Linked DNA regions of Oryzias latipes. The protein of the gene in region 1 purifies or fractionates together with the protein of each later gene. This does not show direct contact. Links are inferred from orthologs where the notes say so. Each region holds a gene or a part of one and is shown on either strand. Other genes may lie near its edges.

Region 1 (4,401 bases):
CAAGAGAGACCAATTGTTTTTGTGGGTTTCGAGAGGCTGGTGCTCCGAACACAGAGTATTAGAGGAGTACTCAGAAATGCTTGAACAGAGCAAAATACCGCTTTGGGTTTTTTTTTTTTGTGAGGAATTAACATTATAATTCTAAAAAAAATGATTTTGCATGGTATAGGCCCTTTAATGGGAATAACTATTATTGGAAATAAGATTTAAAGCCTACTTTTTTGAAAAGCCTCAAGTTTGTTTTTAAAACTGAAGAAATAAACATTCAAAACACATTTTATAAGAAAAAAGCTCTCTGGTGTGTTGGATCCATGTCTTCGATCTTTTCTTTGTCCCTTTCTAAGGTGCAAGGTCAGGCAATAAACTTCATCAGACACAATGCCAGAGCCGCAGGAAAAACTGTGACTCGCCGTTCTCAGTCACTGACAGACCTCAGAGATAAACCTGTGCCCAGCGCAGTCAAAGGACAGGTCCCGCAGTAGTAAGTATTCCAACAAGAAAATTGACCTTCTTAACAGGCTTTAACTTATCCACGATCCCCTCTGAGATGGAAAAAGTTTTGATAATCTAATTAATAACTTAAAAGTATGTTTCGTTTTGAACATTGCACTTACAGCCTTGAGGAAAGGAAAGCACAGTGGCGCAAAGAGGAGGAGGAGAGAAAAAGAAACACACCCGATCCTACAATCCCACCTGGTCACACCTTAATGCAGGACAGTGAAAGGCAGGAAACACTGAAATCTCTGAAAGATAGTATGTATTTACCTTCACCTTTAGTTGATTTTGATACTTAATACACCACGTATAGTGTGAGACTTTATAGTTCCTTGGTTAATTATACTTTTTCCTCCTCAGCTCATCGCACCCTGGTGATGGAATTAAACTCACTCCCTCTGAAAGCAGACAACCTGAGTACTCGCTCACGTCGGGCTCATCTTGACTGCAGGCTTTCTGAAATTGAGGAGGCAATAAAGATATTCTCCAGGGACAAAGTTTATATCAAAACTGATTCCTAACATCTCAAGAAGAGGATATATAAAGAGGATATATAGGAAAGGGTGGAATAGGATCCTTAAAAATCAACACAATTTAGATACTGCTGTGGAAATATACCCAAAAAAGTTGTACATTAGATTTATTTGCTTTGAATGCATTTTTTATTTTATAAAATGTATACATGGTATCTTGAAAAACAGTTGTGTATCTGCTTGTAATTTATTTATTTTGCTTTTGAGCTGTATTTGATGTATTGTAGCCACATAACTGTCAGTAATGAAAATGTATATTTTTCTTTCTTAAATCTTATCCAATAATACTTTGTACAGAACCAGTGTCTTTGTCTTTTTATGTATTATACCCAATTTAACCATAAATACACTTGAATCCTTTTTGACGAAGTGCGCACGCGCAGCCCCGCCCCCACCATGTCTCATTGTTCAGAGCAAGCTAACTTTTGCTAACGTGGTAGTCAGAAACTGACTGACACCTTGCAGCTTGTAATCGCTTTCGCACGCAAATATTACTTGGGAATTTTTTTTAAAACACTACAATAGTGAATTACATCCACTATGAGCAAAAGAAAAGCACCACAGGAATCTCCAAACGAAGGAATAACGGACTTTCTCATCGGTAAGTGAAGTTAAGGTTTGCTAGCAGAAGCTAGCCTTTCCATTTAAAAATAAATACCCACATATCTTGCTAATTATGCTTTATTGAGAGTGGCCCCGTTGATTATGTTTCTTTCTCGTCAGTTAGAAAGCATCAAGGTTACTTTGATGTACAATATTTAAACTTAATGACTATGATAAAATCACTCAAACATAAAGCCGACTCTAAGCTAGCAGAGTTAAGCTGATGAATGGGCGGATCGGTGTTTTGAAAATCATGAGAGGTGGGAGAATGCCTTAATGGGTTTCTGTTTGCAGAGTTGGCCAACTACGAGAAAAATGTCAACAGGGCAATACACAAGTACAATGCTTACAGGTATGTTCGGGAGAGTAAGGGAGTGTAAGCCCCATTGTTGTTGTTTTTAAAAATAATTACTATAGCAATGATGTCTGCCCAAAACATCCCCTTTTCACAATTTTTACATTTAAATATGTCCATGCTCTTTGAATCCTTCCTGTGAAATACAGAAATTTTCACTAAATCTTTCATAGAGCCGAGAACCTAACATTGTGCTTTGTTTGTGTTGCATGATGAGTGTGTGTTTTGTGGTTCCTTCTGCTTTCTCTCTTTGCTGCTCCCTTGGTATCGCTGCACCGAATCATCCGCCTCCATCCACTAAACCTCCTCTGCATCCTCCTCACTCACACTACCCACCTTCTCCTCAACAACATCCATGAACCTCCTCTTTCCTGTAGCTCCAACCTCAGCATCCTTTGATCAACATTATCACTGTCCTTCCTTTGAGCGTGTCAAAATCATCTCAGTCTGCTTCCCTGCATTTATCCTCAAAACATCTCACACCTTTCCTTATCTCATCCATCCTCATCACACCCAAAGAGAACCTCAGCATCTTCATCTCTGCTACCCAAAGCTCTGCCTCCTGTCACATCAGAGCCACTCTCTCTAATTCAAAAACATGGCTGCTCTTACCACAGTTTTCTGCGGCTTTCCTTTCGTTCTTTCTTTTGTTACACTACACACCTTCCTCCACCCGTTGCAACCCGCTTGCACATGCCTCTTTTCCCACACTCTTTGTTGTTCTGGACTGTGGACCTTAAGTACTTAGTCCTCCATTTTCTCCACCAACTTCTCAGCAACACGATTTTCTTATCTTCTTCAGTCAGAGTTTAATACCTGCGTTGATATTTTTTTTTTAATCTTATTTTTTTTACCTCTTTCATTCATAATAGGAAAGCAGCATCTACCATTTCTAAATACCCAAGCAAGATTAGGAACGGAGAAGAAGCAAAAAAACTGGTATGTGCTGATATATATATATATATTTAAAATATCTCCTATTTGATGTGAAATTTTCCGAATTGTTTTTTGTTGTCTTAAGAATGTGTTAATGTTTTAAGAAGTGTTTTATGAGCTCTATCTGAACCTAAACTATTTTGTTAACTTACATTTTCTATAACTCCTGAAAATGCTGAAGCATCCGCCTACGTATTTACATTCAATTCCTCTTTCATGATTCAGGATGGTGTTGGTGCCAAAATAGCAGAAAAGATTGATGAATTTCTACAAACTGGCAAACTAAGAAAACTAGAAAAGGTGAGAGTTTACTGATACTGCAGAGGATGTGCTGATAGAATCCATGTTGTCACACAAACTGATTTATTTATGTTTTTCGATAGATCCGAAATGATGATACCAGCTCTTCCATCAACTTCCTCACTAGAGTTACTGGAATTGGGTATGTTGGTAATGTTATTCGTATAGTTGGATGACATGGTTTTTATTGACCTTTACAGTGGTCCTTCAAGAGAAGCTAAAAAAGTTATTTCTGTTCTGCAGATATGATTTAAAAAACATATAATTAGTGTGTCTTTTTTATTTAGCCCTGCTGCCGCCAGGAAGTTTTTTGAAGAAGGGGTGAAGACATTAGATGGTTTGTAAAGTCTCTTATGTGCATTACTATTATGTGACATCAGTATGAATGTGTTGCAAATTCTAAAATGTTTTGCATTATGTTGATTTTCCGTATGTTCCTATTCTTTTGCAGATTTGAAAAAGGTTGAGCACAAACTTAACCACCATCAAAAGATTGGACTCAGGTAAAGGTTTGACATTTACTTATTCAAATACTCAAAAATGACTGTTTAGTGACTAATCTGCTTCATTTAGGTACTTTGAAGAGTTTGAGAAAAGGATCCCAAGAGCTGAAATGGAACAAATGGAGGTAGTTTTTCCTTTTGCTTCTATGTTTTCTACTTCCGGGCTGGAAAGTGTCGTGTATTTGTCAAGCTTTTCATCATCTTGTGTTTTTAAGGCTCTTATCATTGCTGAGTTGGAGAAAATTGATCCAGAATATATTGGAACAATATGTGGAAGCTACAGAAGAGGTGATCTTTACTGTCTTTAGTCATTTTCTTTACTGGTTGGTGGCGTTTGTAACTGTTTATGGTTTCCAGGTGCAGCGTCGAGTGGTGATATTGATATTTTGCTGACCCACCCAAACTACACCTCGCAGACTGAGAAACAGGTAAAAAGTAATCTCATGAATACTTTTATTCCCATCTTTATCTGCAACTCAGTTTTCTGTTCTTTTGTCCTCAGCCCAAGCTCCTCCATGCTGTGGTTGAACACTTGGAGTCCATTGGCTTTGTGACTGACACTCTGTCCAAAGGAGACACCAAGTTCATGGTGAGCCTTCAGCTTGTTTTTCTTTCATGCACTCAGCTCCATGCAATTCCATTAGGTAACAGGGTTAGTGCAGTAACTGCATGCATC
Region 2 (4,595 bases), on another chromosome or scaffold:
GCTGACCGGTAGGGTTCATCTTGGCCTGAACTTTCTTTTTGGGGCTGGCGTTGACTTTGGCCATCAGGTCTGCAAGAGAACAGAAGAGGTTTTAGAAGAAGATGCCGGCCCGGATGTCTGGCAAACTCTGTGCTGGCTGCAGAGAGGAAAAGGTTGCCTTCTTCCCCAAAGACGTCCTGCTTCTAATAGTTTGAGATATGAGAGACTTGTATGACGGGTCTGTCCTCCCGTGTCCAAAACACACTCCTTACCTTATCTGCTAACTATTGTGAAGACATCACTGCATTCGTTTTATTCTATTTCTACTTTTTTTTATCCTAAGGAAAAGTGAAATGGTAGAAACCCCATGAAGAACGTGTCAGACGGTAGCCGACTCCCGGTCGCTGTGGGCCTTCACACCGTCTGCAGCTCAGAGGAGCTACGGTTCTGGTTTCCTTCAGCGCCGACACACAGCAGTTATTGTTTTTGGAAACGAGACGGAACGACTGAAAGGAACAGAAGAGCCTCACTCTGGGGGGGAAAAACAGTTCTTGGTGTCAGAACAACCGACTCAGAACCCAGTTTCAGCCAAACCAGAGGCTGGTTCCTGCCGGCTGGACTACAGCAACAGTCTTCCTCAATAAGCAGGATGCTGCTGCCAGGGTTTGGATCAGAACCAGAAGAACATCCCTCCTGTTCTCAAGCCCTTATGTTGGTTAGCAGTTCAGGACAGAAGCCATCCTGAAACCCGCTCCGATCATCATCTGATGAGCTTTCAAAGCCTTCCAGGCGGCCTTTCAGTTAGGATTTTTTTTTTTTTGCCAAAATCCAAAACCTGTGTTGTTTTCCAGGACATAGTTTCTGCAGAGCGGCAGGAGTTCATCAGAGTTATGTTATGGACTCCCATTGCTCAGAGCTCGAAGCAGAGAGTTTGTGATCACCCAGCGTATCACAAATAAGCTATTTTTCTCTCAAAAGTTTTCTCTTTTTTCAAATCTGAACTGCACTTTCTGCTACTTTAAGTTGACACGCAGCTACATTTACTTTTTCTGGACGATATTCAACTATTATTTTGTTTGTACAAACTTTCCATTTCCGCCGAGCCTTCCTGCCGTCTGTATCCCAGCTCGCTTTTTCTGCCACACTCAAGTTTTCTTACGCCACAAAAGAAACCAAAAGTACCGGCATCCCATCTCACATAAAGCCAACAGCAAACATGCAGTCATTGTTTCTTAAGGTTATTTCTACTGGTCGGTCGAGTAAATCAGACTTGTTAAACCAGCCGCCTGCTCCCGGCGAGCGTTAGAAGTCCTGATGAGATTCAGATTCTTCATTGGAAAGTCATTTTGAATACCTGAGACGTGTTTGTTAATGAGCTCCTTGTCTTCATCCTGCAGTTCCTCCCAGCCCTCCAGATCGGTGATGTCTTCGATCTTCTTGGTGGTGGCCCTCGCCCTCTCCAGCTTCTCAAAGATGCACTTCACGTGATACCACTCCTTCATCTCCCCGGCAGACTCGCTAAAGGGGTTCGGCACGATTTTGCCGATCCTCACGATGCCCTTCTGGATTTTGTCCTTGCACTTCTTGCAGCCCGCCGTGCCCCGTTTGGCGTACTCCACGAGGAACCTCTGATCCGCCATTTCCGGTCGAGTAGAGAAACGCCGTCGCAGGAACAGCCAGGAAGCGGAGAAACGAGGGAGGCTGGGTTTGGAGGGGGTGGAGTGACACAGACAGGTTTGCTGTGAAAATCTTTTTGCAGAAAAACTGGAGGGAAGCTGGTCAGCAGAACGGGAAAAGGCGACTCTGCACGTAGTAGAGAGCTGCTGACGTCTAACAAAGGAGCCAGAAGGTTTTCCACCGAAACAGACAGTCTTCTGGATGGATGTGAGGAGAAGTCTCTGCATGTATTGTTGACTGTGCAGTTAGCAACCTAAAACACAACAAAACGACGGTTATATTCAAGAAAAATGCACAAGCAAATCACAAAAAATACAATTCGGTTTTGTTTGACCTAATATGTCTTGAAAAGTTAATTTTTTACGTTTACTCGTTAATTTGATTTTTGAGTTTATCAAACAATAAGCAAAAAAAAAAAAAAACCTTTTACTGGTTAGATGAAACTTTACTTTATCATGACTTATTACCTTAAATAACTTAATTAAATTACGATGATATCATGTAAAAGACGATTTAAAGAAACATGTTTTTCATTAAACTACTAAATTAACACGTTTAAACCTTTTATTTATTTCCATCAAAGATATTATTCCAACATTTCGGTTTACAGAAAGTTTTTTTAAATCAATTGAAGGTTAATAAAGTGTAATGACTTGATTCTTACTTTTCCTGATTTTTTGGTTAAATGATAAATAAAGCATAAGCAAATTCAGTTTTTCAAGGGTACATATTTTAAAAATTTTCTTTAGTAATCCCAAAAGAAAATAGTGCTTAATAATTAATAAAAAAAATGAATTAATTTTGGGTTGAAAGCTAACAAACGATTCGGTCAAGTGCTGCTAGCTTTAGCTCTGTTTACTTTTCAAATAACACTCGGGTAAAATAAAACTGCACTGAAATCTACCAGAAAAGGACGAAACATAAAAAAAGATTTTATGTCACAAATTGAGACTTTACCTCGTAAGCGGCGCTAAAGCGCTGTTTTCTTAAGAGTTTCGGCTCTGCCTCGATTGTTTAGCAACAACAAGCGGCTTCTTCACAAACGTCAGGCTAGACGCTCGTGCTTCGTAAACCTACGGTTTGGCGGGACAAAGCGACAACTCCATTTAAATATGTTTGGTTTGTTTATATACTTTTCCAAATGTGAGTATTACGCAAAAGGAAAAAGGGTTAACAGCGTGGACAGCAGGCAACAGTCCACACAATGACATTCTTCTTCTGGGCTTATTTCGACATCCGTTCCCGCTCATCACCGCCCCCGTGCGTCTACACGCCGTCATCACAGTCGCTACACAGTTCTATCGTTTTTCACAGTCTAATTTTTCTCCATAAAAGGTTAGTGAAAATACTGAAGTTGTCACATTAGACATTACATTAGCTGTTGGCTGATTTACAGCACTTAAAAAACGCTCCAAAAAAGATTGAATACAGATGTCAGATCTTTCCCAAGATTTTGTCATAAAGTGATTGAAAAATAAATACGAGAAGACCATAAAGAAATTCACATGTGAAATAAATTTATGTCTTCATAATGACTATTAAATATAAAAAGACATGTTTGCACTCTGAATTTATTACATGTGAAGTTTGTTAAAGTTTGATTGGTTGAGAGTGAGAGAAGTGAAATCAATATTTCTATATTGTATTGTATTGCATTGGTTTGGATTTTTTTTATTATTTTGTTTTGTATCAACGGCATACGATTTAATACCAATGAAAAGATGTGTTACTAAGAGGCTACTTTTTTGTGTCCTCACGTTAAAGAAAAGAAAGAAATTAAGCTTTCAGTCGGTAAAAACTATATTATGATTTAAATTATTATATTATTTATTAGATATACCAAATCTAAAAAAAAATAGCATGACAACAAACAAAACAGAATAAACGTGGAAACAGTGGCCTCCTCATGAAAGCTACGTAAATTGCGTTCTATGACACGAGATGCGCGCGCGGCGGCGGGTTTCCGGACCCATCTCGTACGTAAATACCGCGGCGCTGTCACTACGCAGTGCGGGCACGCGCAGTTTACCTCGTAGGGAGGACCCATATATTTTGTTTGACGCTATTCCAGACTCAGCGGTGGATACTTTTCTCTTTTAACCTTCAAGGAACGTAAAGGAGAAGAATGGGACGCGGCGACTGTCCGCATGTCGACTGTCTGAGTTTCCCCTTCGAACACAGACGTTTGTGTTTCTGCGTTGTATTCAGGAAGAACAACTAGCTTGGATTTTAGCATCAAGCTAGCTTGGACGCTAACTTGTTCGTGAGGTTGCAGGCTTGTTGTGGCCCGCGACGCACCGCCCAGCTCGCATCTTTCTTGCCTCCAACGGGAGAAAAAATGGTAAAACTTCATTTTTTAAATATTTATCCGCCTCTTTCTATTAAAATTAAGTGTCACGCGAAATACGTCACGTCTCTGAGACGTCGTTGTCAAGCGGTTAGCTTGACGTCTAAATTAGGTTGACAGCTAATATTAGGTGGTTACGTTTAGCAATATTTCATAACGAAAGCTGTTTGTTTTTTAATTTATTCTATCTTTAACCGTTTTTGTGTTCGCAAATTATAATCTGTTCTAACGACAGTTAAGTTTAAGTCGCTTTTTTGTTGGGATTGTTGTCCAGCCATACGTGCTTACAGGTAAACATAACTCAATATGTATTTATCATAAATAACTTGTAGGCGTGGAAAATAAACGTGGCTGGAAAAATACCTGAAGCTTGGGGTTTTCTCTGCAAATATCTGTTTGGACGAGTCCGCGTTGCTTTTGTTTATCTTGAGTGTTTGTCACCTTGTCCTTCATGTCCGGCATGTTATCACAACCTCACAACTGTGCTTTTTTATGTGTACTGTCAACCATCATGCAGTGTGTTTGTGTACATTATTTGTTTAACTTCTGCTAAAAGCGAAAACCTTTGAAGCGAGTTTGTGGTTTTATTTTG
Region 3 (4,254 bases), on another chromosome or scaffold:
TGAAGCAGCAGATGAGGCGCATCGCGACTGAGAAAGGTGAAGGATGGGAGCGACAGGGCAGGACGGCAGCCACCATGCGCAAGGAGATGAAGATGGCCACGTCGCTCTTCCTCGTTCTTTTTCTCTTCACAATCTGCTGGATTCCGCTCCATGTGATCAACTGCTTCCTCCTGCTTTGCCCAAAGTGCCCCGTTCCGCTGGAGCTGCTGCTCACCACCATCATCCTGTCCCACGCCAACTCTGCTGTGAACCCCTTCCTGTATGCATACACCATGACGGCTTTCAGGGACGCCTTTAAGGCCATTTTTCTGTGCTGCAGGTCGATGGGAGAGGCAGAGATTTTAAGTGGAAACAACAGAGGAGATGAGAGAACTTCTAGACCAAACCAAGTCTGTGAGAGCTGAGTCAAAGCTCTTAGTCAAACTTTTATATATATATATATATATATATATATATATATATATATATATATATATATATATATATATATATATATATATATATATATATATATAGTTTTTGTTACTCCTCACCCCTCAGTTTTTACAGCAGGAAGCCTCTTCTTCAGCTCCTCCTTGTCTTCTGCCCGCAGCACATTGAATCCCTTCAGCTGAGCAGCGCTGTAATCAGGTTTGAAAGCCAGCTCCTCTCTGCGGCTCACAAAACATGCAGTGTGGTACCAGCGGTCGATCAGGCCCAGCTGAGGCTTCTCTGCATCCACCACTTTCTTAGACACACGAATCTGATCCTGGAGGAGAGGTCAGAGGTCACAGGCGTGCTTTCCGTTAATGAACTGTTTAAACGAAGCTGCAGCAAACCTTTTCTATTTTCTGCTGACATCCTTTGCACGTGCTGCGGTTTGATTTGGCGTACTCCACCGCAAAGTCGTTCAGCGTCTTTTCTCCTTTAGCCGCACCACCAGAGTTTCCCTTTCCTGCAAGATGGAGACCTCAATTTACCCCGCTGTGCTTTAAGTCAGAATTTTCAACAACCTACAAAAAGTAAACAAAAGCGACTTTCCGATGACTAACATTCACCACGCTGATAAACGTCAATTCATTTCCCGTGTGCACAAACAGCTCAGACAAGCACAGACCTGTTCCGGCCACTCCACCACTTTCTATGGCTTTTTTGACAGCTTCCTGGTCCGCCCAGCGGAGATCCGAAAACCCGCCGACATCGGCCGTGGACTGCACCGAGGCTCGCTGCCAGAAGCAGGAGAAGTGATGCCAGTGAGGGACCTTCCCGTCGAACATGGGGGACTGCGGGACACAGAGTAAACATAGGCGTGAACACATTCAGCTGCAGAGTTATAGTTTTCAGTCTGTCTGTATCTGCCGGGTTTGGATGATTCTGGAAAAAAATGATGGGTTTGCTGCTCATATCAGATCATCTGAAAGCTCCAGTGTAGTTTGGTGGTGAATTGAACAAGATAGTTGAAAAGTTGAACAAAGAACAGACAAAAAACATTTTTATGAGACGAGTAAAGGATGTAAAATAATTTAGCAATACCGTAATATTTTTTGAAGGTGAAATGGGAGGAAAAAACTAACCCTTTGAAAAAAATAATTGTACTATTGTCGCCATGTCCTGCTCCTTTTAAAAATGACTTTTCTCAATTTTTCTGTACAGTTTAAGAAAAATAAGAGGCTTTTCAAATTATCTTTAACATTTTAGCTGTAGTGACTCGCCAAAACAAAAGCGCAATTTTGTTTTTATTTAAATCATAAAAAATACCTTCAAATAAAAACTTGAACATCTTTCTAATTCCACAAACAAATACAAACTGTAATAAAAGTTTTGTTTATATATGTGTTTAATTATTATTTTTACATTTTATTCCTTACGTTTAGATTTAAATTGCTCGCCTTAAATTAAACATTTTAACTGTTTATTTAATAATATCAATAACCATCAATTGATCAGTCTGAAGGATGGGAAATTTACAAATATAAATCTGAATACAAATGATTTAAATATATATATATATATATATATATATATATATTTTTTTTTTTTTAAAGTTTAGTTGGTGCCAATTTTTACTCTGTGCTTTTGATATAAAATTTTTGACAATAAAAGCAATCAGTCTAGATATGATCTATTTTTTTTTTATAAATACCTGTGATTGATATTTACATTTTTCATCCTAATTTTTAAATTTGCATTAGAAATTAGTTTTATACAATTTACTGGATTATAGATAATAATTTTTTTACCTGCATATTAATTTACTTGAATGTCAACGTATTTTTCCAAAAATATAAATTCTACTTGCATTAATTGCTTGTAGAATAATAATTAATTATGCAAAGTTTAGTATTTCAAATCCATCTGCTGAAACGGAAGCCTGTGGTAGACAAAATACTAAATGAATAAATAAAAGGAAAAAGCGAATGAAGTAAAGAAAGTAGTGAGCGGTACACGTTCCCCCGAAAGACAAGCGATAGAATCACCAAGACTGAGTCAGACTGAGAGGCAGCAGTGATTTTTCCTCACATTTCTGCTTGAATGCCGGAAAGTGCATTTATTTGGAGCATCTCTGCGGCTCTTTGTGCGGAAGATTTAGCAGCCATAAATGCTAACGAGGGCCCAAACCAGTCCAGACGAAACCGGAACTACTCAGGCCTATATATCACATTTTCAAAAACACACTTTTATTTTTTTTTTACATCTGCTGAAGCTGCTTGGTAAACAAGTGAGTCTGTAGGAATAATTCCGCTCCCGGGTGTTTCCTTGGACCGCCGCTGCTTACCTGCACCACGATGGCCATCCTCAGCGAGTCCTTCGCGATTTTCTCCTTGCATTTCTTGCACGAAGCCTGGCCGCTTTTGGCGTACTCTGCTCGGAACAGCTTGTCATTCTGGGAGTCGGCCATAGCTTCCCTTTATCCTTAAAAAGCTGAACCGAAGACGACAAAGTTTCTCCACCAGAGCACGAGGAGCAACAACAGGGACAACGCGAAGAGCAGCGAGCAAGATCCAGTAAAGAGGGCTTACTCTGACTCTTTTTTGTCAAACCTCCGATACAAGCGTTAGTTGCCAATGGACGCTGAACCTGGGCGCATGTCCACAAATATCTGATAGATGCGGGCATATTTATCCAGATAGCTACAGAAATCACAGCTAACCGAACCTAAGAAACGGGGTTACATACTTCCATTCCTTCAGCATATCTTTCAAAACATCTTTGCATGCAGAGCCTGTAGAATGGAAGTTTATGTTTTTTGTTGTTGTTATGAAAATCATATTTATTGTTTAAGTTATCCATACTCACAAGCTCTTATTTAGAAATTTAGAAAACAGCCGGCTTCTGATATTCCTTGGACATCATTAAAAGAAAATGACAATTGGCTTTTCTGCAGGAAGCTTCTTTTCTTTCTGCTTTCATTTACTTACTACCATTCTACCTTTTCTTTCGTTTTCTTTTATCTATCTACCTATCTATCTACCTATCTATCTATCTATCTATCTATCTATCTATCTATCTATCTATCTATCTATCTATCTATCTATCTATCTATCTATCTATCTATCTATCTATCTATCTATCTATCTATCTATCTATCTATCTATCTATCTATCTATCTATCTATCTATCTATCTATCTATCTATCTATCTATCTATCTATCTATCTATCTATCTATCTATCTATCTATCTATCTATCTATCCATCCATCCATCCATCCATCCATCCATCCATCCATCCATATCTATATATCTAATTTTCAGAAAGTAAATAGTTTAAAGTAAATTAGACAAAAAAGTAAGACGTACAAGAAGAAATATGATTTTGTGAAGATCTCTTGGTATGTAAATCACTTTTTTCATTGAAAAAAATCAGATGGACAACATAATTATTATCCTATAACTGTTGGAATAAACTGTCAATCGTGGAAATAAATCAAATATTACATTTTTTGTGTGCATGTATACTTCTACTTTTTGTTACAAGTTTTTCTTCATAATGCAACTTCTTCTGTATGTTTATGTTTTTAAGTCTGACCTTAATAAGAAGAGCTAGGCTATTGTTTTCGTATTATTATCCTTAGATGTTTTTTAGAACAATGGTAATTTTTTTGTTCAGTTTTGTCGATTGGAAGAATTAAAGAAAGAACTTAAGATTTGATCAACTGAAATATATTTATTTATAAATTTATTTAAAAAAACAAAAACGAAATATTATTATTTATGTATATTTATTTGTCCTCTTGGTCATTCCTCAGGAGCCACTCAACCGCATAAACAACACTC

Evidence for each region.
Region 2: the proteins of polb (region 1) and lig3 purify together in Homo sapiens (affinity purification with mass spectrometry; 3 studies listed by BioGRID and IntAct, counting the BioPlex papers as one, with this or other methods). This does not show direct contact. The link is inferred for Oryzias latipes from reciprocal best matches to the Homo sapiens genes POLB and LIG3.
Region 3: the proteins of polb (region 1) and parp1 purify together in Homo sapiens (affinity purification with mass spectrometry; 4 studies listed by BioGRID and IntAct, counting the BioPlex papers as one, with this or other methods). This does not show direct contact. The link is inferred for Oryzias latipes from reciprocal best matches to the Homo sapiens genes POLB and PARP1.

Annotation. Positions count from the first base shown.
Region 1 is NC_019867.2:6,236,571-6,240,971, forward strand, and holds the start of polb (DNA polymerase beta), read left to right. Parts: upstream 1-1,427; 5' UTR 1,428-1,568; coding exon 1,569-1,629; intron 1,630-1,925; coding exon 1,926-1,983; intron 1,984-2,858; coding exon 2,859-2,925; intron 2,926-3,147; coding exon 3,148-3,222; intron 3,223-3,305; coding exon 3,306-3,364; intron 3,365-3,509; coding exon 3,510-3,559; intron 3,560-3,673; coding exon 3,674-3,725; intron 3,726-3,795; coding exon 3,796-3,850; intron 3,851-3,940; coding exon 3,941-4,013; intron 4,014-4,082; coding exon 4,083-4,153; intron 4,154-4,227; coding exon 4,228-4,314; intron 4,315-4,401. Other genes in the region: enkd1 (enkurin domain-containing protein 1), read left to right, coding at 345-481, 617-753, 856-1,016.
Region 2 is NC_019872.2:27,669,576-27,674,170, reverse strand, and holds the start of lig3 (DNA ligase 3), read right to left. Parts: upstream 3,095-4,595; 5' UTR 2,614-3,094; intron 1,910-2,613; 5' UTR 1,884-1,909; coding exon 1,334-1,883; intron 70-1,333; coding exon 1-69. Other genes in the region: tmem248 (transmembrane protein 248), read left to right, coding at 3,995-3,997. UniProt on the Homo sapiens protein: Isoform 3 functions as a heterodimer with DNA-repair protein XRCC1 in the nucleus and can correct defective DNA strand-break repair and sister chromatid exchange following treatment with ionizing radiation and alkylating agents.
Region 3 is NC_019882.2:7,704,338-7,708,591, reverse strand, and holds the start of parp1 (poly [ADP-ribose] polymerase 1), read right to left. Parts: upstream 2,989-4,254; 5' UTR 2,879-2,988; coding exon 2,756-2,878; intron 1,263-2,755; coding exon 1,097-1,262; intron 935-1,096; coding exon 819-934; intron 749-818; coding exon 534-748; intron 1-533. UniProt on the Homo sapiens protein: Poly-ADP-ribosyltransferase that mediates poly-ADP-ribosylation of proteins and plays a key role in DNA repair.